Linked DNA regions of Canis lupus familiaris. The protein of the gene in region 2 interacts with the protein of the main gene of each other region in a pairwise test. Links are inferred from orthologs where the notes say so. Each region holds a gene or a part of one and is shown on either strand. Other genes may lie near its edges.

Evidence for each region.
Region 1: the proteins of TUBGCP4 (region 2) and LZTR1 interact in binary tests that used the Homo sapiens proteins (3 or more experiments, as listed by UniProt). The link is inferred for Canis lupus familiaris from reciprocal best matches to the Homo sapiens genes TUBGCP4 and LZTR1.
Region 3: the proteins of TUBGCP4 (region 2) and SDSL interact in a two-hybrid assay, tested with the Homo sapiens proteins (2 studies listed by BioGRID and IntAct). The two-hybrid records come from large-scale screens. The link is inferred for Canis lupus familiaris from reciprocal best matches to the Homo sapiens genes TUBGCP4 and SDSL.
Region 4: the proteins of TUBGCP4 (region 2) and PAK5 interact in a two-hybrid assay, tested with the Homo sapiens proteins (2 studies listed by BioGRID and IntAct). The two-hybrid records come from large-scale screens. The link is inferred for Canis lupus familiaris from reciprocal best matches to the Homo sapiens genes TUBGCP4 and PAK5.

The regions. Positions count from the first base shown.
Region 1 is NC_049247.1:30,678,497-30,685,777, reverse strand, and holds part of LZTR1 (leucine-zipper-like transcriptional regulator 1), read left to right. Parts: intron 1-2,438; coding exon 2,439-2,495; intron 2,496-4,225; coding exon 4,226-4,305; intron 4,306-4,715; coding exon 4,716-4,824; intron 4,825-5,330; coding exon 5,331-5,414; intron 5,415-6,715; coding exon 6,716-6,773; intron 6,774-7,281. UniProt on the Homo sapiens protein: Substrate-specific adapter of a BCR (BTB-CUL3-RBX1) E3 ubiquitin-protein ligase complex that mediates ubiquitination of Ras (K-Ras/KRAS, N-Ras/NRAS and H-Ras/HRAS).
Region 2 is NC_049251.1:10,549,239-10,555,536, reverse strand, and holds part of TUBGCP4 (gamma-tubulin complex component 4), read right to left. Parts: coding exon 6,291-6,298; intron 3,690-6,290; coding exon 3,512-3,689; intron 3,020-3,511; coding exon 2,885-3,019; intron 1,453-2,884; coding exon 1,336-1,452; intron 707-1,335; coding exon 567-706; intron 1-566. UniProt on the Homo sapiens protein: Component of the gamma-tubulin ring complex (gTuRC) which mediates microtubule nucleation.
Region 3 is NC_049247.1:11,071,899-11,079,788, reverse strand, and holds the start of SDSL (serine dehydratase-like), read right to left. Parts: upstream 4,007-7,890; 5' UTR 3,861-4,006; intron 2,648-3,860; exon of another isoform or gene 2,590-2,647; intron 1,508-2,589; 5' UTR 1,317-1,507; coding exon 1,305-1,316; intron 1-1,304. UniProt on the Homo sapiens protein: Catalyzes the pyridoxal-phosphate-dependent dehydrative deamination of L-threonine and L-serine to ammonia and alpha-ketobutyrate and pyruvate, respectively. Also exhibits racemase activity towards L-glutamate and D-glutamate.
Region 4 is NC_049245.1:13,086,391-13,093,671, reverse strand, and holds part of PAK5 (serine/threonine-protein kinase PAK 5), read right to left. Parts: intron 7,017-7,281; exon of another isoform or gene 6,775-7,016; coding exon of another isoform or gene 6,772-6,774; intron 3,415-6,771; coding exon 2,629-3,414; intron 1-2,628.

The DNA.
Region 1 (7,281 bases), on a different chromosome or scaffold from region 2:
TGAACTATTCCCACTTAAGTGGTGGCTGGTCTCCTTTGGTTAAAGATAATGGCTGAGGTAAACCTTTGGTTTGTGTGACTGCTTCCTTCTGGTGGTGTTCCCCTAAGACCCATTCCCAGAGGGAAAGAGCTCTTATCACAGGCTGGGCCATGTTAAGTATGGGGCGTGGGCATAGCAGACATGCTTGGAGAGAAGGGGTCTGGTCTGGGCAGAGAAGCCTTCCTGGAGGGGTTGATGACCTGAAAGATAAGTTAGAGTGAGTCAGGTAAAAGAGAGTGTTCCAGGCAGAAGGACCAGCATGGGCAATGGCCCGGAGGTTGGGGGATGCAGAATGGCACCAGGCCTAGAGTCTGGACAGGGCTTCCCTCCCGCATTCATTCGTTGATGTGGTTCAGGAAAGGCCAGGGATGCCCACCAGGGCTCTGGGAGGCTTGGGAGCCTGCTAGACGTGGGGCTGAAGCTTGAAGCTTGATCCGGATAGACCGAGCTCAGTTCAAATTAGAGCTTTGTGACTGGGCTCCGGGTGGTGGCTTAAATCTCCTCCTCTGTATAGGGGGTGCCTGCATGCTCTGCTTTTGCAGTGTGCTCCTCAGGGTCAGTGAGCACAAAGCTGGGAAGGGCTCAAGACAGAGGTCTGGCTGTCCTGCAGATGCAGTGTTTGCACATGACCGATTTCTGCCCATGAGTCCATCCCTGCCTCTCAACCACAGGACGTGGCCTGAGGTCCAAAAAGGGCTGGCCTCTGATCGGTTCTGCAGCCTTGGTCTTTCAGGACTCCCTGGGGGTGAGGGAGCTGACTTGGAGGTGTTGGGGTACACAGGACCCCACAAGGACCTGCAGACCAACAGTGTGGTCTCCTTGGGCATGGCCTCTGGCCTCCAGCCTGTCTCCCCAATAGCTTCTTTCCCCATGAGCAGCCAGAGGGACCCATTTGAAGATGCAAGTCTCAGTGTGTTCCTCCTCAGCACATAGCCCTGGGGACTCCCCTCCGTCTGAGTACAAGCCCAAGCTGTCCTGGCAGCCGACCCTTTACGCTTGCGCCCGCCCTGATTTTCTGCCTTTGTTTTGCACGGCACTGGGCTACACCCCTGTCTTGCTGTGTTCTGAGTGAACCAAACATCTCCTGCTCAGGCCCTGGTACTGGCTGTTCCCTCCTTCCCGCCCTTCCTGCCTCTCTTCTGAATATACTGTGAGTGAGGCCCTCCCGGCCACCTGGACCAGCTGTTGGCCCTCCCCTCCCCTTCTGCACCTCTTGCCGGCCCCATGGTAAGAGCACCGATCCCACAGATACCCTCAGAGTTCTCTCAGAACACACAGATGTTTATGTGTCTCCTCCATGAGGGGGGGACCTGTACCTGCCACACAGACAATTCAATAAATGTGTGTCACGTGAAAGAATGAAATGGGAAGAGGCATCTGCCCACAGATGCTCCCTGCTGCCTTAATGACAATCCCCCCACCCCAAACCAGGCAAGGCCTGGTGTCCAGCCCAGAGCAGGAAGTGGGAACATCCCTCCCAGAGTTCTGTAGCAGGTAGAGTTGGCATGGCAACTGTGTAGCAACCAGCAGAAATAATTTGCTACAATGTGGCATCAAGAAACAGGGTACAGATTTGTCTCACCCTGGTTGCAATTTTGTAGAGATCCACTGGGTGCAGAGAAAGACCCCTTCCTGCAGCGTCTGGGAGGGGGGAGGAAAGGAGGGGGGAAGGAGCAGATGGGAGAAGGGAGAAATTATGGTCACATCTCGGCTTCCCAGCTCCTGGCTGCATGGCTGCATGGCCTTCGGCAGGCCCTTTATGTCCCGGGCCCCTTCCTCTTCTGCAAAGCAGGTGGAGCCCCTGGTGCAGACTGAGGGAAGGGTAGAGGGCGGTGCCCTGTATAGGCCTGGCATGCAGGGGGTGCTGGGCTCCTGTTGGCTGACTCCCTTCTTCCTTCTTACTGACTGACAAGGGCTGAGTGGAAACATGCAGGTCCTGCTAGGTTGTCACTGGACTTGTTTTCCATTTGATTGTATCTTTAATGTGGTTACATTGGCTTTGCAACAGGGAGGTGGAAGGAAGATCAGAGAGGAGGAAAGGGCCTCCCCTGAGATCTGGGAAGCTCTGCATTTTGGTAGCACAACCTCAGGAAAGGAGGCTCTGAGATGTGGGAGTGGGAGTTGGGGTTCTGGAGCCTGCCTTGGTGTGAGTCCTCAGGGCTACCTGCTGGGTGGCCAGGGTCATGCTTTGGACCCGACTGCAGGCAGGCCAGTCCCACGTACCTTGCAGCCCCGGTACCAGCACCATCTGGGGAGCTTCCTCTGTGGTCACCTCTCTGGGCCTTCGGGCATCAGCTGGCTGCCTGGCCCTGGCCAAGTCCCCACAACGGTCCCCACCCCTGGGCTGCAGTGTCCGATCGGCCCAGGACCGACCCCACCTGTCCCTGGCTGTCTTTCAGGAAGACCATGCTCAATGACCTCCTGCGGTTCGACGTGAAGGACTGCTCCTGGTGCAGGTAGGTGGCCTCGGAGCCCTAAGCACCTTCTTCCCCCTAGAAACCGGTAGCACTGTGCCAGGCCCCAATCACCAGCGGAGTCATGCTGGGGAAAGCTAGAAAGAAGCTTCGAGGAGGAGATAACAGTGGCCCTTAGCGTTCCTCTCTCTCTCCTGGGTTCCTTCTCCAGTCCCAACTCCGATTATTCTGAATCCTGTTAATTACAGGCATCTGTTTCATTGGTTGCAAGTCCTCAAATTCTGCCTGCGGAGAGCCCTTCCATCACTAGGCCTGTCTCCTGGGCCAGGGGCTGCTATGGGAGGTGACACAGGGTGGGGGGGCGTCAGCTTGTGGGTCCTTCCAGGACCGACCCTGTGTTGCTGTAGGATGCTGCCCAGGGGCTGACAGCACTGGCTCTCCTCCCCTCCGTGCCCCTGTGGGGCCCATCCTCTGCTTGGAGACCCCACATGGGTAGTGGGCAACAGGCAAGCCCTGGCCGCCTCCCGCAGATGGCCCTCCCAGCTGTGTGGCCTTGGCCAAGACACCTGCCCTCTCTGCTCATGGCATACGTGTACCCATCGGCTCCAGTCTGCAGCCTGCCCAGGGGGCAGCTCTCAGCTGAGGGGGAGAAAAGGGATCTCAGGATTAGGAGACACTGGGCTTCCTCCTGAGCTCTCCCATCTGCTCGTGCAGGAGTACAGACCCATCCAGCCACCTGGCTGCCACACTCTGCACAGGAGCTCTGGTGTAGCCCTCAGTCCCCCGAGTCCCCTCTGTGGTGGGGTCTCACCGCCCCTCTTTGGTGAAGGAGGACATCCAGGCCCAGGACCCACACCCTCCAAGCCTGGCAAACCAGGGTGGCATCATTGTGCACCACCCACCTTCTGCTCAGGAGACCTCCGTAGCTCTGGGATCACGAGAGAAGTTTTGTGTTGTTCGTCTCATCCTGGGTTTCATAACATAGCCCATAGTTATGGATCAGTTTTAAAAATCACCCTACAAACTGTACAATCCTTTACTAATGATTGCTTAAGGATAAAACTCTGAAAAGGAGCAGCCCCAGGAAAGCAGTATAAAGGGGTTTTTAACTCACTAAGTCAAGTGTGTGGCTGACCCCTGCGGATGGAAGCCAGTGCCGTGAAAGGACACTGGCCGTGAAAGGACAAGGATAGCTGATCCCGGAGTAGCCGGAAGACCTACTGTTTAGTTCAAAAAGCAGGTGTCATAAGATGCCTACCACATGACTCCACTTAGAAAATTACTCAGAGACATAAATACGCATAGGAAAGGTGTGTGGAGGGGTGACCTAAAGGTATAGATGGTGGTTTCTGGCAAAGGGATTATATGGAAGTCTCAGTGCTGGTTTTGTGTTTTTTCCTTATCAGCAACTTTTGTTAAAAGTTTCTATAATGAGGGGGCGCCTGGGTGGCTCAGTCGGTTAGCGTCCGACTCTTGGTCTCAGCTCAGGTCTTGATCTCAGGGTCATGAGTTCCAGCCCCATGTTAGGCTCCACGCTGGGCCCACATGGAGCCTACTAAAACAAAACAAAACAAAACAAAACAAAACAAAACAACCCATAAAATAAAGGTTTAAAAAAAACCTTTTCTTTTTTTAAGTTTCTCTAATGAGATAAGTATTGCCTACTAGATGCAAATATAAAAGGAATCCTGGGCGGGGGCGGGCTGCCCGGTGTGGCGTGGACCGCACAGCTGAGCCCCGCTGACACCCGCTGCCCCGTTTCCCCCCACCAGGGCCTTCACCACTGGCACCCCACCAGCCCCCCGCTACCACCACTCGGCCGTTGTCTACGGAAGCAGCATGTTTGTCTTTGGTGAGCTGCCTCTCCTCCTGGGTGCCGTGCCCTCTTCGGGGCTCCAGCTCCCCTGTCCCGCCACCAGGCCTGGGGCTCCTGTGCTGTGCATGGCCAGCCTCTGTCCCGCCTTGTCCTCTGTCGGAGTCCTCTGAGTTCCTGCACTGGGCTGGGGGCCCCTCAAGGGCCTCGTTCCCTCATTGTCCCGATCTCATGGGGTGACTGCTCGGGAAGGTGGCTCTCCTCCCTCCTCTGTCACTCTGCCAGGGGCAGGGGTCTGTTCATTTCTGTGTCCGAGCCTAGCACAGAGTCAGGCACGCGGTAGGTGCTCCCTGAGGCTTAGGGAGGGAGTCCCAGAGTACATCTTAAGTGAGGCTGGATTCTTCTCCCCCTGCCTTTGGGTGTGATGGTTTCTCGCTCTCTCTACCCAGGGGGCTACACTGGGGACATTTATTCCAATTCTAACCTGAAGAATAAAAACGACCTTTTTGAATATAAGTTTGCAACTGGCCAATGGACGGAGTGGAAAATTGAAGGACGGTGAGAGACTTTGCTGAAACCTTTGGGGGCTGTCCCGATGGCTACGGCGCTGGGTCCCTGGTGGCAGCTGGCCTGCGATCTGGGCCCTGTAGCTTTACAGGAGAGCCCGAGGCTCAGGAGGCTTGAGTCGTGCTCATTCCCAGCTGTGACTGTCTGAGGCCCCCTCCCTGCTCTTGGATTCCCTGCTCTCAGAGAGCAGAGGAGCCCCGGTGCACTGATGGGCCCTTCTCTGGTCCTGTTTTGCCAGGACCCTCCCCCACCCCGACTCTGATATTTCTGTGTTGGCTGGGAGAGGCCTTTACCCTGGGGACATGGGACATCTGAATTCCTCATCCCACTGCCCCGCCTCATGAACCCAGCCTCATGACCCCCAGCTGGCATCCCCAGAGCCCTGGTGTTGGCAGATGTAGGCATGGCAACCCTGGGGTCCCGGCCCGCCGCTTGGGGTTGTGAAGCTCGGGTCTGTGCTGGGTGGCCTCACTCCTCACCCCCTCCCCATGCTGCAGGTTGCCAGTCGCTAGGTCTGCCCACGGCGCCACGGTGTACAGCGACAAGCTGTGGATCTTTGCTGGCTATGACGGCAATGCCAGGTAGGTGGTGCCTGTGCACCGGCCTCTGGGCAGCCCTGTACGTGTACCGAGGGGGGCCTTCCTGGCATGGGAAGGCTCAGGCTGGGGGTTTCTCAGGAGGGTAATGTGGACAGGAGTGAGGGGAGGGTGGGATGGAGGTGGAGGGGAGCTGAGTGGAGCTCCCACCCAACCCCACAGCCCTGAGGCCCCTCCTGGGGGCATCCGAGGGGGCGGCAAGCCTGGCCCATTTTTGTGCCGCTCAGAGTGTGCTGGTCTCCACGGCAATAGGTGGCCTAGCTGGTGTCAGAGCTGGGGGAGGGGGGTGTGCGTCTGAACTGCCCAGGTGAAAATACTCGAGCTCAAGGTGAGCAGGTGGTGGCAGCAGCAGGGCTCAGACCCGGCCCCTCCTCTCTGGATGACAACATGGGGTTCCTGCCTACGTAGCAGGGACTGGATCTACCTCCTTCCTTTTTTTTTATTATTATTATTTATTTATTTATTCATGAGAGACTGAGAGAGAGAGAGAGAGAGAGAGAGAGAGAGAGGGAGGCAGAGAGAGAAGCAGGCTCCATGCAGGGAGCTGAACGCGGGACTCGATCCCGAGAGAGAGAGAGAGAGAGAGAGAGAGAGAGGGAGGCAGAGAGAGAAGCAGGCTCCATGCAGGGAGCTGAACGCGGGACTCGATCCCGGGTCCCCAGGACCACGCCCCGGGCCGAAGGCAGGCGCTAAACCACTGAGCCACTCAGGGACCCCCTATCTATAGAAAATTGGCTTCGCTGCATTTTTCTGGTTACAAAAGTAGCATGTGCTCATTCCCTGAGATCTCAGCATTATAGAAACTCCAAGGGGTGGGGCGCCTGGCTGGTTCAGGTCTTGGAGCTGTGAGTTTGAGCTAAGTGTTGGATATAGAGATTACAAAAAAAAAAAAAGAAAAAAAAAAAAGAAGAAGAAGCAGCAGCTCCAAGAGGTGGCAATGTTAGTGGTGGTTTCTGGGAGCTTTGCCTCTGAAGTCCTCTCTAAGCCCCAGGGGTGAGCCGAGTGAGACTGACCCTGCCACACTGGTGAGACATTGTGAATGATGGTGTGTGTTCCCTGGGTGGGGAGCTGGGGGGCCACATAGCAAGGGTTCAGTGCAGCCCCTACCCTGAAGCTCCCACCTCATGGCTGCTCCCCAGGCCCCTGATCAGAGTCCTGCATGATGTGTCGTTCCCTGGAGCCGTCCCTCCTGGCTGGGCCTAGCCCACCCTGCCACCATTCCCAGCTGTGGAGATCCTGACACTCGTCCCTCCATGCCCCCCCCCCCCCCCCCCATCCTAATGCAGGTTGAATGACATGTGGACCATTGGCCTCCAAGACCGGGAGCTCACATGCTGGGAGGAGGTGAGGGGCACAGGGAGAGGCGATGGGGGGCAGGGGAGGCCGGGAGGTAAGGGGCACAGGGCGGGGGGCTGGGGTGGGCGGGGGTAGGAGCTGCTTTCTCCCCCTTTGCCGAGGCCAGGCCTCACCCTCCCTGCTGACTTCCTGCCCAATTCCAGCCGCACTGACCTAGTACTGGCAAAAGGCTCTGGGACGCCTGGGTAGCTCAGGGTTTGGACGTCTGCCTTTGGCTCAGGTCGTGACCCCGGGGTCCTGGGATCGAGTCCTGCATTGGGCTCCCCACAGTTAGCCTGCTTCTCCCTCTGTGTCTCTCATGAATAATGAATAAAACCTAAATAAATAAATAAATAAATAAATAATAAATAAATAAATAAATAAATAAAGGCTCTGTGGCTCAGATGGCAGCTGGTCCTGGTGACTGGTGCAGCCTGGGTACTTGTGATTTGAGCACAGCGAGCTCAGCCTGCTGGCGGGTGTCCTGCTCGCTGCCGTTTCTGGCCAGTCGATCTGA
Region 2 (6,298 bases):
GTAGTGTCATCTTCTAAAACTCTTAAGTTTCTTTGACTCTTCCACTAAAGTCGCTTAGGAAAAATCTGCTTGAGGACAATTAGGAGACAGAAAGAACAATAAAGTGCTTTTTAAAAAATAGGACAGACCTCTGAGAAAAGCCAACCACCGCTGAATCTACTGGATTAAAAAGCTAAGAATTAGAAGGGGCGATCACCTTTCCCAAATGCAGAAGCTGGGGGGCCAGTGAGGCAAGGGTGCCTGAGGCTGCACAGCTGGTTAATGTCAGAACTGGGAACCAACTACTGCTCAGTTCTTTCTTCCAGCCCAGCTGAGAACTAAAAACCCATCTCAGCATCAGGAGTTTTAGTATTTTACTATGATGATGGCTTTTACTAGAAAATAAGCTTCCTTTGAATTAAGAGAGCTGATCAGACATAGCCCTTCATGTCTCTAAGCCTTAGTTTCCTTGCTTATAAAATGAGCTACTTGGATGAGACAGTGGCTGATGTCTCAGCTCTGGAATTACAACTTGTTAAACAGCCACATTCATGGAGTCCCCACACTTCCCTAAGGCTTGTTCCTACCTGCCCAGAGTTCCGCCAGCCTGGGTGTAGTATTTGTTATAATCTAGCCGTAAGAGCAGTTGAGCCAAATCTGAGTTGATCTGATGGTTCCGAACACTGGAGAGAATCTTGAATAGTAGTGAAGACTGGCGGCTAAAGCCCTGCAGAGAGAAGGACTCAGGCTGTCATTCCTATTCCTCTCAGACTCAACCAACTGTCCATGTGGAGTGAGGCTGGGGGGGGGGAGGGGAGGGGGTTCCTTAAAAAACTTGCTCAAAATTCTCCAGCACCAGCTGGCCTTCCCACAGCCTCGCTTCTATTAGCTCCTAAAAGGTCGTCTTAGTACTGAGTCCACGGATGGCGTGGCTTTGAGTGAAAGTACACTCCCATTCTCAGGAGGAAGTTAGCATCTATTCTGTTGATTACTGGGGCTGGGGAGAGCCTGCGCATTTTTGTTAGAGTCAGATAATTACAATCCCAGCGAAACGGAGTTCGTTCAAGGAAGGAGGTTGGATAGGAGGTTGTGAGAACAAAACCAATGCATGTTTGTGGGCTGAAGAAACTATTCACGGCCAAACTATTTTCAAATGCTGAGATGGCACATAACTATCTGCTTCAAAATGAACTGATGCCAACATTTTTATCTTTGTATCTTCTTATTTCTGTGTGTATATATGTATTGGGGAAATGCTTTATTGACCCAGAGGGAAAGATCATGACTCCCCATTGGCAAAACAAACCTCTACCCTTTGGACAGGGCTGCATACTGCCAACAGCCAGGCAGACTCACCTTGACCAGGATGCTCAGCTGGGCAGCCCCACGTTCATCCAGTGGGCCCAGGTTCTGACTGACCAGCGAGCAAAAGCTGTGACAGAGATCTAGGATTTCATTCAGGCAGTGAAACACCTACCCAGGAAATAGTTGGTATTAGGAAAAGAAGGAAGATAAATCTATGAGATTAGAGATCTGGGAAAACAGTCTGAGAGTTACTTTATTCCCATTCTTTGACCTCAGGAGAGACTGTCACGTATGAGTCAGTCCTGTGGGCTCCTCGAAATACAACACGTGTAACACCAACTCTTCGCTTTCTGGCAAAGATGCTACTATTCTGCTAGTAACCCCTGCACAAAACTTCCATTCTAGCCACATCAAATTAGGCATCGTCTCTTGGACCCACATGTGCTCCAGCCCTGAGCTTTGCTCAGAGTTACTCTCCTTAATGCCAGTTCAAGTTCTCTTGGTGGGGCACTCCCTTCCCCCCTGTAGCCTCTAGTGACCCCCCTGCTTCTCTATTATCTGTACTGTTCTCTTGGCATCTGTTCAGGCCACCTGTGTTGTTACTAGTCTGTGTATGTATGTATGTTCTGTTTCTCCAACTAGATTGTGAGCTCCTTAAGGGCAGAGCCATGACTTATACCTCTTTGTATCCCCAGTGCCTTGCATAAAGTAAGCACTCAATAAATATTTAATGGTCACCACCTGCTCTGATCTTCTGCTTTTCCCAAGGGTGTACTCATGCCACACGAGGGTAGTTGGCCTGTCACAGCGGCTTTTGGTGTTGTCCATTCACACAAACAGCCCTTGGAGTGGCATCTGTGTAACCTGCTCTCCCTTACTGAGTGCAGCAAAAATAGCTCCGAATACGAACAAGAGAAGTCTAGTGTTTGTGCTGTGGCAGGACTGAGGGATGACAGCTGGCTGACATCAGGGATGAAGCGGAATCTACGTAACTGTGAGGGGTCATTTCAACCTTCCCACTTTTTATTTGAGAATTTTCATGTATTTGTGAGCTTTAAAAAAACACAGGTGCCTGGGTTTCACTCCGGAGATTCTAATATAAGTGCTCGGGGCCCCAGATTTTTTGAAGCTTCTAGGTGATTCCCATGTGTAGGCAAGGCTGAGAGTAACTACCCTAAAGGAGAGGTACATATGTACACAAAGGGAGACACTATTCACTTGTCTGTGAAAACAACTCTCAACTGGTCAATCCTGATCCAAAAGATTTCTAAGAAAGTAAGCACTATGTGCTTTTCATTAGCCCTTCTGTGGTGTCAGAAAAGTTTTATTTAAAATTCTTTAAATTCTTCCCTTTGAGGGCTAAGCACATATTCTTTCTTCTATAGCTGCGCACCACATCCTGAGGATATAGTATTTCAGAAACTCAAAGACATTTAAGTTCCCTTTTAACAGTCCCTTATAGTTTTGCTTTAAGTTGTCAGAAAGGTTTAAAAATGGAGATTGAACAACTGTTGAATGATAGTTCCGTATCCTGGCAACTCGGGACCTAAGGGAACAGTCAGGGTGGAAGCAGTCTGAGGAAGCCCAGAGCCCTACTTACAGGTTTCAACAGGATAAAGGACTGAGCCAGCAGATTGCTAAGGAAGTGGTCATGAGCCAATCGGATGCTTTCAAAGTCACGGGTAGAATTGATCTGATGCAGCAGCTGTGAGAACTGAGACTCCAGCACATCTACCTGATGGGCAGTGAACAGATGCTTTCAGTACCTGGCATATTCTAAGCACTCAAGGACATTAAGATGAAATACAGTATGAAAGAAATTCTTGGAGCCACTTTAAAGCCGCGCAGAGGCCATATTACCTTGCCTTGTAGCAAGTTCTCTGCCTAATGCCTCATAACCCCAAAGTTCTGGCAGATCCCCCACTTCACGCCATATCGCCTCCACTGACTAACCTGGTTAAGTCCTACAGATTCCAGACGGCCTAGCCAACTAAAACTAAGGATCGAATCAGCATTGCTGACAAGAACCCTAAGCTCATTCTCCTTCATTTATTCCCACTTTCCTTTAAAATGCCGCCAAGAAACCCCTCCCAACGATCTAACCTGCATTTTCTCAACCCCCAACATCTCGTCCAATGCAGGACTGCAGTTCCTCTTTGGTAAATCCTGCTCATGTCCCAGACTTTTTTTCCCTACCCCTTCCTCCCATTCATCCCCTGACCCAGACCTGGAGATAGTACTGAAGATTATCCACCAAGAATGCCATGTGATTTCTCAGGCGCCACTTGACTGCGTCAGTCTGGTTGGACTTGAGGTGCTTGCGCTGCATCTGTAGGGCCCAGCAGTGCTGCAGCTCGGCCTGCACCCGGCGCACGCTCAGTAAGTACTTGAAAACAACATTGTACCTGGGACACAAACGGCAGGCTATTCAAGAATAAAACTTCACTTCCCACCTCACCTGCAAGACAGACCCCAGGACTCTGTGCCTGCCGCCCGTGCCCCAAAATGTAGGAAGGAAATGAGAATGGCTAGAGCTATGGATGAATTTGCTGTGGCTTATCAATATGGTGGGTCATTACATGGCCGCTAAAACGACTGCACTTCATCCGTTCAACTTAAGGCGGCTCCAGGCAATGGGATTCTGATTAAAAGGAACACTCAGGTTACATACAGCCTGATATGCTTTGTTTTATAATGCTTGAAACAACTGGGTAGAAGAAAAACATATTTTGAGGGAATATACATATAGATATAAAACTAAATATTAAAAGGACAAAAAAAAAACCGCACCTGGGTGGCTCAGGATTTGAGCACCTGCCTTTGACTCAGGTCATGATCCCAGGACTCGGGATCGAGTCCCACATCGGGCTCCCCACAAGAAGCCTGCTTCTCCCTCTGCCTATGTCTCTGCCCACCCCCCCCCCCCCCCCCCCCCCCCCCCCCCGTCTCTCAGGAATAAATAAAATCTTAACAAAATAAAACAAAATGAACAGAAAACAGTGTGGGAGAATGGTTACTTTGGGCTGAGGGAGCCAAGGGAGTGAGAGTGGGAAGACCACAGAGGCAGACATTATTGTCGGTGTTCCAGTTTTTGTGCTAGAAAATGGTTTTGCGGCATATGTGTAAATAGGAAGGAGGGTCTTGCATGGACCAATAATCAGAATGTGTTAGGAAGCAAGGATTTTGGTTAATGTGATGCTCTGTTCCAAAAAAGAGAACGCAGTGGAGGCCCCTTAACTGCTGCCTCAAGGCAAGCTCAGGGGCTGCTTGCCAAATGCCGAGCCCCATACCAAGAACACACATGGGAAGAACAGCTGATTCCTAGTGGAACTGGATCTGTTTACTTGTTCGTAGGCAGGCTTACAGACACCAATCTGATTTGGTTTTAAAATTACCTATTTCTAATGGAACAACATAGTAAAAAAGTACACCTTGTTTGGATTCTGATTTGAACAAACCGAAACATAAAAAGACATTTTTGGATAACTGGGAAAATTTCAATCTGTACCAGATAAGGACGTATTGTTAATTTTATTGGATGTGATAACTGCATTGTAATTACATTAAAAACATGCCTTTTCTGAATCGCATAGCGATGGAGGCAAATGACCTGTCTGGGATGTGCTTTACAAGGTTCTAGCGAAAAAAAGAAGAGATAAGACAAGCAGAATGTTGATAGTTACTGAAGCTGGATAATGTACCTGTGGGGGATCATTATAGTCCACACTTTTGTTTATATTTGGAAATTCTCATAATAAAAATTAGTTTTTAAAACTACATCTGAGATTGATTTCTTCAAGGGTGTTCAGAGTGTATCAAGTGAGGATGTAAGTGGACTGTTTGCTTGTGGGACACTGGGACACTGGGTTAAGACAAGGTCTATACAGCTTGCTTAGGTGGGCTGTGGGCTCTGAACCTGCCAGAGAAATCTCCCTCAACCAGCCTTGTTTTTGCCAGTTCATACCTAGGCTCTCATGCCCTAAGCTTCTCTACCCCAAAAGGTAGAGAGGACTGAACAGGAGCAGAGATGAGAGGCCCTTTTGTTCACATATTTCCCTTTTCATCCTCTTCCTCTAGTCCAAGCATAACAGCTGCCATCCTCCAACCAGCACGAGGGCCAGTGCCTTGACCTGTGTGACAGGATCTGAGAAATTCTTAAATGGTGTGGGGACGGATTTCACAGGCCACCATAGCCAGGCCTGCTTCTCCTGCCTCCCCTTCCCTAGAGCTCTTGGTCCTTGGGTTGGGGATGTGAGGTCCACATGAAGCTGAGCAGCAGCATCTGGCAGGCTCTCAGGATCAAGAACAAAGCTGATCCAAGAGTCTCTCACCACCTTGGTCCAGCTCCTGTATTCTATCCCCAGCTTAGCTGTCCTCACTGCGTCTCCCTGGGAGGAAGGAAGTGATCTTCTCTGCTGTGGCTCAAGTCCACAGCAAACACTTAGGAGGATAGTCTTCCCAAGTAGACCCACAAAAAATTACAAAAGTTAGGGAGGAAACAGCTAGTCTGATGGAACTAAACAAAGGCCAGATTCTCCATGTGGTGCCCAAGACTGCAGCTTCCGGAGGTCACAGATTGGCAGCCTGTAAACTACTTACTTTGCAACTTAAAAAAAAAAAAAAAAACAACAACAACAGGGGCACCTGGCTGGCTCAGTTGTGGGGCCTGAGACTCTTGATCTCAGGTTTGTAAGTTCAGGCCCTATGCTGGGTATAGAGATTTCTTAAAAAATAAAATCTTAAACACTACTGCCACCATACTGATGATTTGAGGGTTTGACCCTCCCATTCATCTCAGCACCAGCAACCCCACAGCCTCACATCCGCAGCTTCACTTGCTAATGTTTTCCGTCCGTTCCACAAAGGCATTGGAGTTTTCAGCCTCTGATTTACAGACTGTGTACAACTACCAGCTGCGCGGTTACCTTGCTCCTGCCGATTGTATTCCTGATCATTTCTACCCTTGGAAGTCCAAATTTACCTATGAGAAATTCAGAAATACTCACTTTTCCAG
Region 3 (7,890 bases), on a different chromosome or scaffold from region 2:
CTCAAGAGAGAAAAACTTTTTTAAAACTTGTATTATGGAGAATTTAAACATAGCAAAATGTCGAGAACTGTATAATGAACCCCTGGTGTAGCCCATCTCTCAGCTTGAGCGAGCACTCGTGGCCTGTCTTGTTTCAACCACACCTGCACACACACACCCCCACCCTGTGCTATGGGGTTTTTCCTCCTTTATTTTTTTAAGATTTTTTTAAAAGATTTTATTTATTTATTCATGAGAGACACACACAGAGAGAGAGAGAGAGAGAGAGAGAGAGAGAGGCAGAGACACAGGCAGAGGGAGAAGCAGGCTCCATGCAGGGAGCCCGACTTCGGACTTGAACCCAGGACTCCAGGATCGGGCCCTGGGCTGAAGGCGGCGCTAAACCCAAGCCACCCGGGCTACCCAAGATTTTTTATTTATTTGGGAGAGCAAGGGAGAAAGAGAGGGAGCAAGAGAGAAAAAATGAGTAGGGGAAGGAGCAGAGGGAAAGGGAGAAGCAGATTGCCCACTGAGCAAGGAGCTTGATGTGGCAGGGCTAGATATGGGAACGCAGGGATCTTGGCCTGAGCTAAAAAGGCAGACACTTAACAAACTGAGCCACTCAGGTGCCCCTTATCCTTTATTCTTATTATATATTTTTTCCTATACTACTTCCTTTGTAAATACTTCAGCACAGATCTCTAAAAGCAAAGAACTCTTTTTGTAAAACTAGGTTTATTTCTTTATTTTAAGGATTTTATTTATTTATTCATGGGAGACACAGAGAGAGAGAAGCAGAGTCACAGGCAGAGGGAGAAGCAGGCTCCATGCAGGGAGCCGGATGTGAGACTCGATCCCGGATCCCGGGATCACACCCTGAGCCAAAGGCAGACATTCAACTGCTGAACCACCCAGGCGTCCCTTAAGAACTTTTTTTAAACAGTAGCCATATGGATTCATAACTGTATACATTTGTGCAAACTCACGGAATTCTTACTCAAAGTGGACTTATTTTTTTTTTGAGAGGGAGCAAGTGGAGGAGAAGCTGAGGCAGAGGGAGGGAGAGAGAGAATCTTAAGCAGACTCCATGTCCAGCATGGAGCCCAATGGGGGCCTCCATCTCACAACCCTGAGATCATGACCTGAGCCGAAACCAAGAGTTAGATATTTAACTGACTTAGTCACTCAGGCATCCCTGGCTAATTTTATTTTATAGAAACCATATCTCAATGACGCTAATTAAAAAAAACCACATCATCACAATACCATTATCACATCTAAAAACATTAATAATCATCTCTCAATATCGTCACATAATTGCTCACCTTTCCAATCATCTCATTAAATGGGATAAACAGTTGGTTTTGCTGTCAGTGATTTGGGGTTTCTAACAGTTTGAATCAGGATGCAAATCAGATCTGTGAGTATTGGGTTGGCAGAGAGGGCTTTGAATTCTCTTTCCATCTGCAAGTTCTCCAAGAGAGATGTTCGAGATGAGTGACAGCAGGGAGCCCAGGGGAACGCATTCCTGCAGAAGGAACAGCAGGTGGAAACACCTTGAGAGAGAAATGACCCTGGGGCGTTGCTGGTGTGGGGAGAAGGGATCTGGTGTAGGAGCTGAGCAAGGAGAGGTGGGCAGGGACTTGGGGAAGGACGTGCCACGCTGAGGAGCTGGGATGTTATTCTAATTCTACTTGTCCTGGGAAGCCATCGGGAGGTTTTAAGCAAAGGCACAGTTAGTGAACGAATCGGTGGTAAAAGGTGAGAAACAGAAGAGGAAGAAATGAGAAGAGTGGAGAAATAGAGGGCTGTTTGTCTTTTTTTCTTTTTTTTTAAGGAGCAAATGCAACCCCTTTTTTTTCCTTTGGGTCAGAAAAGCATTGGGCCAAGCCCTGCAGTTTCACTGATGGCCAGTAGGAGGCGTGCTGCAGCCTCCCCATCCTCCACGGGCCCAAGCTTCCTGCTCACCCTTACCTACTCCCAGCTGCCCACCCCACCAGAGGGTTCTAGGTCTCCTGCCCCTAGATTTGACCCCAGGCCCTTGTTGGGATGGCCCTGGGATCCCCCAGGCAGGGCAGAGTCTGAGCCAGAGTCTCCACCCGGTTCCATCAGGGCACTTCTCAAACTGAACATGGCATCGGAGAGGGAACCTGTGGGTCACCCAAACTCAGCAGACCTCAGCCTGGGCCTCACCTTGGCTCCGGGCGTAGGGGTCAATCAGTGACCAAAGTTAGAAACCAGCTCTGTATTCCTCGCTGTGTGACCCCAACTAGCATCTCGATTTCTCTGTGTCATGTTCCCTCCTGCCCTACTCTACGTCAGCCATCAGCTGAGCGCTCTAGAGGCATCATCTCTCTGGGGCCATCTAACTATGCGGGCGTGCTTACCCCTTCTCTCGCATGTCTACAGGGCACCTGCGAGGCGCAGGCCCTGACCTGGGAACTGGGGTTACCCTGTTGAGGAAGACGGACATCCCCTCACGGAGCTGATGTGGAGATCAGTGTTTGATAAATAACCATATAGACAAACAAAATAATCAAAAATGGTGAAAACTACCAAGAGGAACGCACACATACAGGGAGTCTTAAAGAGAAGAACAAGGACACCTACTGTGGATAGAGAGGTCACGAAAGGCCTATTTGCAGGAAGTGACCATTAACACCGAGACCTGAAAAATAAGAATGAACTAACCACGCGGCAAACTAGGAGAAGAGCTTCTACATCACAGAATCACTGTGGACGCAGTGAGGCCATATTGTGAAGCCTTCAGCTCCATGCCTGACATATAATATTAGCTAACAGTGTGTGGGACCTCCTGCCAGCCAGGCTCTATGACGAGATCATTGGCACATATACCATCTCATAAGATCATCGTAACGGTCCTGAGACAGGTTCACTTACTAGCTCCATTTTATAGATAATGAAACTGAGGCCCAGAGAGGTTAAGTAACCTGTCCGAGGTGACACAGCTGGGAATGGCACGGCCAGGATTCAAATTCAGGCAGTGGACTTTGGCATCTGTGCCCGTAGCACCGTGCCATACTTTCTCTACTAGGTGATGATAATGACGGTGGTGGTGGTAGTGGTGAAAGGCGTGAGCATTTCATACTTAACTGCCAGGTGTCCTTAGGAGCCAAATGCTCCCAGCTCAGTCCCAAGGCTCCCCAGGCCTCCTGCTTATCCTAACAGCCCACAGGAGGACAGCAGCCCTGTCAAATGAACAGGCCCCAAACTTCCAATAGCCCTTATCAAGCCCAGATGCCCATAAGGGCACAGGCCTCCCAGACTAAGGTCTAGAGTCAAGGTGAGACCTTGGCCTAGGGACACACAGCTCTTGCAGCATGTGGCCACCACGGGTGCTGAGGTGGGAGCCCTGGGCCCTCTCTGCTGTGGAGCAATGCCGTGAAAAGCCTGAGGCCTGGGTTCAGGTCCCAGCAGGCACGACCTTGGCCATGCCACCTTTCCTCACTGGGCTTCACCTAATGCATCTGTGAATTGGGGTAAGGACCATTTCCTGTTTCTGCCTCCTTTGTCCCTCAGGCTTTTCCAGAGGCCACCTGGGTAACCCTTACAGCCAAATCCCTGATGCCAAGGCCAGGAAACTCGCGCTGGCAGAGTGCCCAGCCCTGCCCCTCTGGCAAGCAGGACCTGCTCCCCAGCCATCAGAGTCTGTGGCACCCCCAGCCTTCTTCTCCAAGGCAGGCTAGAGTGAAACCCTGAGTGAAATCAGTGTTCTTAGGGGGGCTTTGCACCCATACCTCCTCACTTTCTGTCCACTCATTCTGGACCTTGCCCCAGAACCTTCCAGACTACCCTGTGTTCACATTCCACAAACGCACACAGAGCCCCAGCGGTACCATTTGGGTGTCAGGCCCTCTTACCTGCCTGCTGAACAGTGCCCAGACCCAGCCCGGCTCCAGCCTGCTGCCCACCAGCCTGCAGCCTGCGAGGGCACCAGCTCTTCCCAGCTTCTGGCAACTTCCCGCAGCCTTGGCCCCTCCTCCCACGTTAAAGGGACAGCGCCCCGCTGGAGGAAGAAAGGAACAAGACCAAGGTCCACTGCCTCCCCCTGCACTGTCCTTGGTCTCATTGATGATACAGGCTCCAGCAGGGAGACTCACTGGGCCGAGGTCACCCAGCCAGCGAGAGACACCCTGGACCACCTCTTCTGTGACACAGACACATCCAGATTTTACTCTGAGTCCAGTGTTTGCGCTGAGTGCCAGGCCACCACCCCCACTGCTGTCAGGGTCAGCTTAGGTCAAAAGACAAAGAAACAATTGTTATCTGCCACATGAAAAGGCCTAATTTTTCTGAAGCACCTCCTCACCCCTGATATTTTACATCCAACAAAGGAACCCAAACAATGATTTATCGTTCAAATGAAGGGCTCTGATTATTCATTCATTCAACAAATATTTATTGAACACCTACTATGTGTTGAGCCCTGGGACTTTAGCCTCAAACAATATAGCATGTCCCCTGCTCTCATGAAGTCCCAAGGGGCCACCAAAGAGCAGTTGTAATCGGTGCTCTCAGATATTGTCAGGCAGAGGTGGGACAGGGCTGTGGACACTCAGAGCAGGTAACTTACACTTACCTGACGCCAGGACGCTGGGAAAGCAGGTTTGGGGCTGGGAATATGGGCCAGAACCAGACTCTGCAGGGACGCCTGTGCCATTCCTGGACCTTACCCAGGAATACTAAGGAACCATAGAAGGCTGTAGGCAGAGGAATAACATGATCAGATTTATACTGTCACCATCTCACTGGGTGAAACTGAGCTTGTCACATCCATCTCTGAGCCTCACGTTTCCTCTCTACAAAATGGGAGGTGAGTTCCAGGAAAGACCTGGCAGCTGAGATGTTCTTTGCCCTTCTAGGACTGTGTGTGACCTTCCCAGGCTTGATGATTAACTCCTGGATGCTTGAGGTCAAGTCGAGTTGCTTGGCCATGATCCTCGATGAGGACTCTGGAAGCTTCATCACCATCCTCCCATTAAACATGTACCCATCCTTGTCAAGCGTCCTGTCCTGGACTGGGCCCTGGGGACAAAGGGGCAAAACCGAGTTTGTGTCCTGGGGTGGCCCCTGGATTAGGGGGAGAGGAAACCATCCAATGCAGTGACAATTTTACCACCCCCAGGAAGACAGAGAGCAGAAGATCGTCATAGGGCACCTGGGTTGGGGTGGAATCAGGGGGATTCCTGGAGGAGTGGGGCCTTAGCACACAGCTTAGACTTGGACAAGAAACATGACAGCCCTTGAACAACACGGATTTGAATGGCGCAATTCCATTTATATGTGGATTTTTTACAACACAGGACTGTAAATGTATTTTTACTGTAAATGTATTTTTAAATATATTTTCCTTATGATTTTCTTAGTATTTCCTCTATCTTACTTGATTATAAGAATTCAGTATAAAATGCATAGAGCCCACAAAATGCACGTTAATCAACTTCCTGTTATTGGTAAACTTTCTGGTCAACAATAGGCTTTTAGTAGTTAAGTTTTGAAGGAGTCAGAAGTTATCCACAGATTTTTGACTTCATGAGGTGGGACAGCACCCTTAACTTCCATATGGTTCAAGGGTCACCTGTACACAATACCAAATCCATGATTTCACAGATATTCTTGTTTTGGAAGAAGCCAAGGCAGGAATCGATGCTTAAAATGCAATCCATTGTTTTTTGTTTTTAATATTCAGTAGTAGCCATAGCAGTGGCACTAGTTTCTGGATGAAGGAGCAGGGTGCCTCACAGAGCACAGACCATGGAGCCGGGGTCTGGCACAAAACACAGCTCTGCCACTTACCCGCTGGGTAAACTTGGGTAAATCTCTTAACCTCTCTGTGCCTTGTTTCCTCAACTGTAAGATGTGGATAGACTACAACTTCTCTAGTGGGCAACTCATTTGTGAGGATCAAATGAGTTAATATATATAAAATATTTAGAACAGTGGAAAGTGCTCTGTGTTCGATGCTATTGTTGGTATTAGTGTATTTATAAGAGGTGACACCACAATATGGTAGAAATTGCAAAGGTGGCAATGAATGTTCGAAGTTTGGGAACATGACATCATCATATCACAGAATGCTTGCAACACCTTGGAGAGATGTATGTTGTAACAAACCCTCTTTTGGGGAATCAGACTTAGCTCAGAAAGGCCAAGTCACTTTCCCAAGGTCCCATCGCAGTGGCGGAGCCAGAGCTCAGAAGTGGAGGGGCCAAGCTCCAGAGCACCTGACTTGGAAGAGCCTGAGGTGGGGATGCCAGGATGTCTCCATCAGAGAGCAGATAAGACTGGAGAGGTGGCCCAGGTCACTGACCCATCCCGTCCCAGATCCCAGAGCTATGTTCGTCAGCCAGTCCCTGTCCCTGACGCTTATGGTGGCCAAACACTCACCCTGGCCAGTCTCATAGGTTACTCATTAAGCTTCATTTCACCATCCTCACCCCCAGCTGTCCCCAGGGCGAGGAAACAGCGTGGGGAGGAAGGATGGAGCCTCAGACACAGGAGAGGAATCCTCCCAAATTGCATTTGGACTCCATGTCATACACTTTCCAGGCCGCCGAGGCCCAATTGTACCAAATGGGTAAAAGAAGCTGGCCTGGCAAAAAAAAAAAAAAAAAAAAAGGGCAGCCTGGGTGGCTCAGTGGTTTAGCGCCACCTTCAGCCCAGGGCATGATCCTGGAGACCCGGGATCGAGTCCCACGTCGGGCTCCCTGCATGGAGCCTGCTTCTCCCTCTGCCTCTCTCTCTCTCTCTCTCTCTCTCTCTGTATCTCATGAATAAATAGATAAAATCTTAAAAAAAAAAAAAGAAAAGAAAAGAAGCGGGCCTGGGGCAGCAAAGCAAGCAGTCTCACTGGGGAGTAAGCCAGCTGGGATGTGGACTCGAGTCTTCTGACATCCAACACAACATGGCATCTTAGCTGAGGTCTCACAATTCTTGAGTCTTGCCAAGATGACGTCATTTGAGCCCACAGAGGGTCTCAAAGTAGGGGCTACGTTTCTGCTACCCGGAGTTGACTCACCATGTCCTCTACAGAGGATATGTGTTTCTTTTTTTTTTTTTAAGACTTTATTTATTCATGAGAGACACAGAGAGAGAGAGAGAGAGAGAGAGAGAGAGGCAGAGACACAGGCAGAGGGAGAAGCAGGCTCCATGCAGGGAGCCTGACGGGGACTCGATCCAGGGTCTCCAGGATCACGCCCTGGGCTGCAGGTGGCACTAAACCTCTGAGCCACCCGGGCTGCCCAGGATATGTGTTTCTCCATTTGCTACTGTCCTCACCCCTCCCTATCACATCCCCAGCACCGGACAGGCCCCTGCCTGGGGTTGGAGATTTCTGAGTTGAAGACCCTTGTACAGAGGAACTCTCCCTCTCTCTCTCTCTCTCTCACCCCTGAACAGGAAAGGAGGCATTTATCAAGCGAGAAACTGAGGCACACAGGTTAAGTGACTTGCCCCAAGTCACCCAGCAAATAAGCCACAGGACTAATCTTCAAGGGAGCCCATGTCCAACCTGGATGCTCTTGTCATAAGAGACTTATGAATCCATAGCCATCAAGTCTGAGTTGGAAGAAGCTACGAGGGCTATCTAATCTATCCTTTTTTGTGGATGGAGAAGCAGAAGCCGGGAGGGGGTGGGGAGAGAAGGGAACAGCTTAACATCTGCCCTCCAGACCAAAGAAAATTCTGGTCCACATGAACCAGACTTTCAGAATTAAGCCATTCATTTCTGCATTTAGCAAACATTACTCCAAACAACCAAAATCTAGACTCCTAGGACAAAAGAGACGGCCCTCCTGGCTTACAGTCAGTAAACAGATACAACAAAGTGTTACAGACACAGCAACCGGAAAATGCAAATTAGAGCAACAATAAAATGTTCTTAAAAAGAAA
Region 4 (7,281 bases), on a different chromosome or scaffold from region 2:
CCACCTCCTACTCTCCTAGAAAACCTGCTTGTGAACTTCTCACGGGTCTCCTATGAAATGGAATAGCAGCTTGCTCCTCTGGAGGCCTTTATTTTAAGGGCTGAAAAACTTCCTGGTACAAGTTCCCAAGGGCAGGAGTGCCTGGGTGGCTCAGCTAGTTAAGTGTCTGCCTTTGGCTTAGGTTGTGTTCTCAGGGTCCGGGGATGGAGCCCCATATGACAGGGAGTCTGCTTCTCTCTCTCCTTCTGCCTCCCATTCCCACCATCCTGCTCATGCTCTCTCTCTTTCTGTTTCAAATAAATAATAAAATCTTAAAAAAAAAATTCCCAAGGGCAAATATGTTGTTATATTTTTTTTGAGCCACAATAGATTTCTGCATTGTTTCTGGGCTTAACAAAACCAGATTTCAGAGCAGGTCCGCTTTGCCTTATATTTGGAAGTCTGTAGGAAGAGGGATTTAGGGAGGAATGAAGCTAGAATGAATGGAATGAATTATCCCCTCTCTCCATCCTCTTCCTAGTCCTCTCTTTAGCCTAGAGTAGCCTCTCATGGGTTTTACTGGCAAATACAGTTGAACTCCATAAGTAACATATGCCCACATAAAGGGAAAAATATGGGACTAGGAGAAATATCAGACTGGATTTTATCCTTGTTTTACAACCAACAAACTATGAAACCTTAAGTGCGCCATGTGACTTTCTGGACCTTAGTTTCTCCTTCCATGAAATGAGTGGGCAGGGGTTCCTGGGGAGTTATATTAAATCCTCAAATGCCTCTAGGGATTAGGCTAATGGGCAGAATGAATGAAGTGGCCTGGGCAGGGCCTATCCCCTCTAATGGGGCAGCCTTTGTCTCCAGCCAATTCCATTTCCAATGCTGTGTGAAAATGTGGGCCTAGGGTTATCAGATCATCCCTTTTTTTTAAGATTTTATTTTTATTTATTCATGACAGACAGACAGAGAGGCAGAGACACAGGTAGGGAGAAGGCTTCATGCAGGGATCCTGACGTGGGACTCGATCCCGGGTCTCCAGGATCACACCCTGGCTGAAGGCAGCGCCAAACTGCTGGGCCACCAGGGCTGCCCAGATCATCCCATTTTTTTAAAGAGAATCCTAAAACCCAGAAGTTGAAGATTTTAAGTGAAATATTTTGATTTTTCAGAAGTTGAAAATGACTACTTGGTGGACTCAACGGGTCGAGAAGCCAAGTATGGCTCCAGGGCTGCAACATTATTGCCTCTGGACGGAACTTTGTGATCTTGACCTAAAGAGCTTCTGACCATAAGTGTTCAAATATATCACATATAAAATATCATATATGACCCTAAATAGCCAAAGCAATCCTGATAAAGAAGAACAAAGATTCCTAATTTCAAACTATATTACAAAGCTATAGTGGTCAACATATAGTATGGTACTGGAAAAAAAGCAGGTTCACAGATCAATAGAACAGATCACAGACCAGAAATATATATATATAGATTCAGTTAATTTTTTACAAAACAGCCAAGAATATACAAATGAGGAAAGGACAGTCTTCAATATATGGTGCTGTGAAAATTGGACAGGCAGGTGTAAAAGAATGAAACCGAACCCTTGTCTTATACCATACACAAAAATTAATTCAAAATGCATTAAAGATTTGAATGTAAGACTTGAAGCCATAAAATTCCTAGAAGAAAAATATTGGTAAGTTCCTTGGCATTGGTCTTGGCAGTGACTTTTTTGTATTTGACACTGAAAGGCAATAATAACAAAAATAAAGTGGGACTACATCAAAATAAAAAGCTTCTGCACAATGAAGGAAAACATTAGCAAAATGAAAAGACACTGATGGGATGGGAGAGAACATCTGCAAACCACATATCTGATAAGGGGTTAAAAATATATATAAGGAACTCATACAACTCAATAGCAAAAAAAAAAAAAAATCCCAAATAACCCAATCAAAATTTGGACAAAGAACCTGAATATACATTTTTCTAAAGATGATATACAAATGGTCAACAGGTACATGGAAAGGTTCTAGACATGACTCAACATCAGGGAAAATCAAAACCACAATGAGATACAACCCCATACCTGTTAGAATGGTTATTAAATTAAAATTTATTAAAAATTATAAAATTAAAAAAATTAATAATTAGAAAATTATTAAATTTTTAAAAATGAACTTTATTAAAAACTTACCATGATAATCCTGACTTTATTTTTTCCTTTTCAACAGATCCTTATAAACTTTGCCAGAAAGTGGGAACTACAATATTAGCCATCTAATGGTTTATAATCGTATGCTCCTTAAAAGAGGACTTAGTCTAATAGGAGCACACAATATTTATTAGTAGTATATCAGGATATCTTTCAAATAAACTTTTTTTTTTTTTTTTGCCTTTTAATCAGAAACCCTCGAGGAGATCTCCAAAGACTTTGATTTTAATGAATATATGTTCCTTGCTCTATATCCTCTGCCCTTGGGGCTTGTGCGTGGAAATCAGGTAGCGTTTCAATATGGATTCTCACTTAAAAGGCAAACCTTCACCTTAGAATCTGACTCTGTGAGAAGGTCATGCTAGCACCACCTTTGTGAGGTGCCTGCCCATGGGAGGGAAGGAGGCAGTGAACATTACCTTTGGAATGCACATTGTGGGCTCGGACAAGCGAGGGTAGGTGTAGGAGTTGTATGAGTGTCCTTGGGGGTGGGTTTTAAATGCACTTGCTCCGAAGGGCATCATGGGTTCCTGGAGCCCCGAGCCTGATCTGGACCTCTGCCGCATGGTAGGCTGAGGGCTGGTCTGATTCAGGTAGGACGACTTTGGCCTCCTATCATAGTCATCCAGGCTGGGTCCCCACTCACTTTCGCTGAACACCAGACTCTCCTTGGAGCACCCACTGGTCCCCGCAGTTCTAGAAGGCGTGAATTGGAACGGATAATCTAGAGGGGAGCTGCTTGAGGCTCTCTGGTACTCCCACTTGAGGTCGCTGTATTCACTTGGTTTGCTCAGGGAGTCCAAGTGGGTGTGATAATCAAGGGGAAATCTGGCAAGATCAGATTTCCAAGGCTTCATCTCAGGATAGTGGGCCTCCCCATGTTTTGTCTTCATGACATGCCCATTTTGCTTGGCCACATGGCTGCCCTTATAAAATGGATCCAGATCATCACCATAGAGACTCTTTTCTCGATACTTCTCAGTTGTGTAGTCAGCAGTGGTATCGGATTCGCTGGAATACTGTGAGAAGGTGATAAAGCCATTTTCTTCACGATGGCCTTGACCGTGGCTGGAGGCCCCCTGGTCTGGGGTGGGCGGACTTTCCTTCCGTAGGGAGTTGGAGCGAGTCACGGAGATGTTGTCAAAGTCCTCCAGCAGGCCGTTGATGGAGGTTTCCTTGCACGGTTTATTTCCTCTAACGATTGTCTGGGAATAGTAAAAGGAATGCCATTTAAAGAAAACATTTCATGCTCTCAAGTTGATGTTGGAATCCCACCCCAACTCCATCTAATTTCAACCACAAGGAGAAAAGACCCTAGGAACATACTCTAAAAAGTAATGATTAAAAAAAACAAAAACAAAAACAAAAACAAAAAACCTGTTGACTGATTTCAGTGGTGAAATGAGCTAAATATTACATAATTGAAAATTGCAAAATTTCTTTTACCTATCTCAACAGAGAGATCAATTAAACATCAAAAGCCATTTAGAAGACTATACAAGCAATCACTGTCTTATTTACCAGGTAAGTGAAACCTCCGCCTCACTCCTTCCCCTCCTTAAATAATAAACCCTAACCATCTAACAATAAGCTGATTATAATTTTAAGTCTACAACTGGTTAGAAAAAGCATATTTATTACTTTTATATTCCTTATCCAGATTATTTGCAAAGCCAGTAAACACGGTAACTTGAATATTAACATTCCCAGAAATGGGCACACACTTTTTTTTTTACCCTTTTATGAAATACTTATGAAAACTGAAGTTATCAGATTTTCTGGAAGAGGCACTTTCTGAACTGTAAGTAAGGAACAGCATGAAGATTACTTGTGAGATTTTATTCGTGATCACATATGATATTCTCATTAAGCGTCTAACTATAATGCTTGCTAGAGCCACACTTTCGTATCATCATCGCTGACGTTTGGATGGCTTAGTAATTGATGTGGTTATACTTGAATCTTAGTGACACAAGCTGCCAAGCCCAAATGTTCCCTTTAACGAACCTAATAACACTGGAATACTAGGAACGGAAAGAAATCACAAACCACTTACAAAGCCAGTCAGCTGTGCCTTGACAATGACAAGGTTTGCAGCAAAATATGATGGGGGTGGATAAAAGAACAAAGAACAAAGTGTTGTGACTTCATACTTCCAGGATTTTAAGAGAAAAATACATTTGAGCAAGTAGCAAAGGAGTTCAAAACCATCTCAGTATAATAGAGGATTTCAAACTAGAGGAACAAGTCAAAATTGTCCTAGAGCATATGCTTTATACATCAGTAGTTCCCGAAGTATCTATGATGAAAGACAAGGTTTTGTTTTTTTCCATCCAATCAGTCCTGGACTTAGACTTTTGGCCTATAACCCTTTCTTTTAAATAAACTTTTAATTTTGGAATGGTTTTAGATTAATGGATTGCAAGGAGAATATATAGAGCTCTGATCTATCCCTTACTGTCTTGTCAATATCTTGCGCTGCTATTAACTAAACTTCACAGTTTATGTTAATTTCATTGTCCCCCCCCCCCCAGTGTTCCTGGGTTCCATCCAGGATACCTCATACTTATTTTTCATGTCTCCTTAATCTCCTCTGGTCTGTGATAATTTCTCAGACTTTCCTTGTTTTGGATGACATTAATAGTTTTAAGGAGCAGAATGTCCCTCAACTGGGAATGTCTGATGTTTTTCTCATGGTTAAACTGAGGTTATTGGTTTGGGGGCAGGGGCAGATCACAGATTAAGGTACCAATTTTATCCCATCATATCCAGCATGCCTATCATCATCAGTGGCTTATTACTGATGATGCTGACTTTGGTCACCTGACCCAGGTTGTGCTTACCAGGTTTCCGCACTACAAAGTTACACTCCCCTTCCTTTGTTGCTTTCCAAACTGTATCCTTAGAAGACCATTCTACTTCCATGAGAGGGGGCACCTACATAGAGTATACAGAATTCTTCTGCACAGGAGACTTGCATATTCTATTTACTTCTTCAGTCATTTAGTTGTGTCAGTATGGGTAGAATCATGGGTGTTTATTTCATACTTTGGATTATAATCCCAAACTATGTTTTTGTTTTGTTTCTCTGTTTGTTCTAGCTTTAGTTACTGAGAGTCCTTTCATACTGGCTGCTCTGTCCCTTTCATAAGCCTCCATCCTCTTATTTTTTAAGCCCGTCCTTACTTTTTAACACTACAAGAGACTCCAGGTTCATCTTGTAAATTCCCTGCCCTTGCCCTAAAATCAACCATGTCTCCAAGGGGCCTGGTTCCTTTAACTGGCTAATGATATTAGAAGCTAAAATTAGAAACTAATATCTGGATGCCGGGTATGCTCACTGTTACTGGGGTGTCACTGCTTCCAGTGAATAGAGCCCCTCAGCGAACAGAGCCAGGCAATACATGTACATACACTTCCCTTAGTATGCACACACATCTGTAAATATATCTATCCATCTGTTCCTATATGAAGCTAAACACGAATTTGTACTATTGTCTCTGAATCTAATCCAGTCTCACATGGTTCATTCTAGCTTTCCCTGTATTTGTTGGTGAAAAAAATGGTGAAAAACCTGGATCCCTCCATCTGCCCTTATTTTGGTTATTCAATCTGAGGTTACAAATATAGCAGTTTTAGAATTATTACCCCACATCACCATGGCAAACCACATTGCCAGCTAGAGTACAGTGTTTAGTATGGTGTTTTGGACTTAGGGCTTACAGTTTCCATTCAAAGAAAGCCCTGTTTTAAAAAGTTACTTAGGTTAGTGTCCACTCCCCACCCCCACCCCCTTCTATGAGATTATCTCACACATGTGTAATAGTTAAATTCTTCTGTCACAGTTTGTATTCCATCCTGGGATCCTCTGATTTGGTTGGCTTAAAAAATTACTCTTTGTGCTGGAAAATTCTATGGGTATTGACAAATACAAAGCATCATATATTCACCATTACAGGGCCATACAGATTAGGTCTATACTTGCCCTCTCCTGGGCTTTCCCTGGTCGGATACTGCCTCTTCTCCAAACCTCTGATATACTGCTGATCTGTTTTCTATCCGTATAGTTCTGCCTTTTCCAAATAACCTAGGAATGGAATCAAACAGTCCAGAGCCTTTTGGTCTGGCTTCTTTCATTTAGATAATGCATTTGAGCTTAATCTAGGTTGTTCTGTGAATTAATAGCCTATTTGCCGCCATTCTTCTTTAAAAATCACTGAATAGTATTCCAGTATATGGAGTGTGATGATTATGTGTGTGGGAGGGGTATAAATGGATTGATTGTCCAGATAGGTGATGTTCTGTGTGAGCATCCTCTCGAGAGAAAAAGAATCACCTATCATATATACCTCAGGACCTCTTCTCAGGGCAACAATATCCATGCCCATCCCAACAGATGAACTTGGGAGAAACAATACCTTGGACAGGGACAAGTAAGAACTGGGGAGAGGAAAGGAAGGAATGGACATCTTTTGATTCACTAAGTATGAGTGCTAGTAACTCATCCTCAAGTCTGTCTGAGAAGCTTCCTACTGCATTTCAGTTGCCTCTTACCTACTTACCATTTCCCTATTTGCTCAGGTACTCTTCAAGCTCTTAGACATAGGTACTGTTACTTTCTGTGTATTTAGCAGCTGGCCTCCTCTCTTCAATAATGCTTTGTACAGGGGATCCCTGGGTGGCGCAGCGGTTTGGCGCCTGCCTTTGGCCCAGGGCGCGATCCTGGAGACCCGGGATCGAATCCCACGTCAGGCTCCCGGTGCATGGAGCCTGCTTCTCCCTCTGCCTGTGTCTCTGCCTCTCTCTCTCTCTCTGTGACTATCCTAAATAAATAAATAAAATATTTAAAAAAAAATAATGCTTTGTACAAATTTTTTAAAAAGACTTATTTGAGAAAGAACAAGAAAAAAGAGAGAAAGAGAAGGGCAGAGAGAGAGAGAGAGAGAGAGAGAGAGAGAGAAAGCATGAGAGGGGGTGAGGGGAAAAGGGAAAAAGAGAGAGAGAATCCTAAGCAGACTTCCTGATGAGTGGGAAGTCCAACATGGGCTTGATCCCATGACATGACATCATGA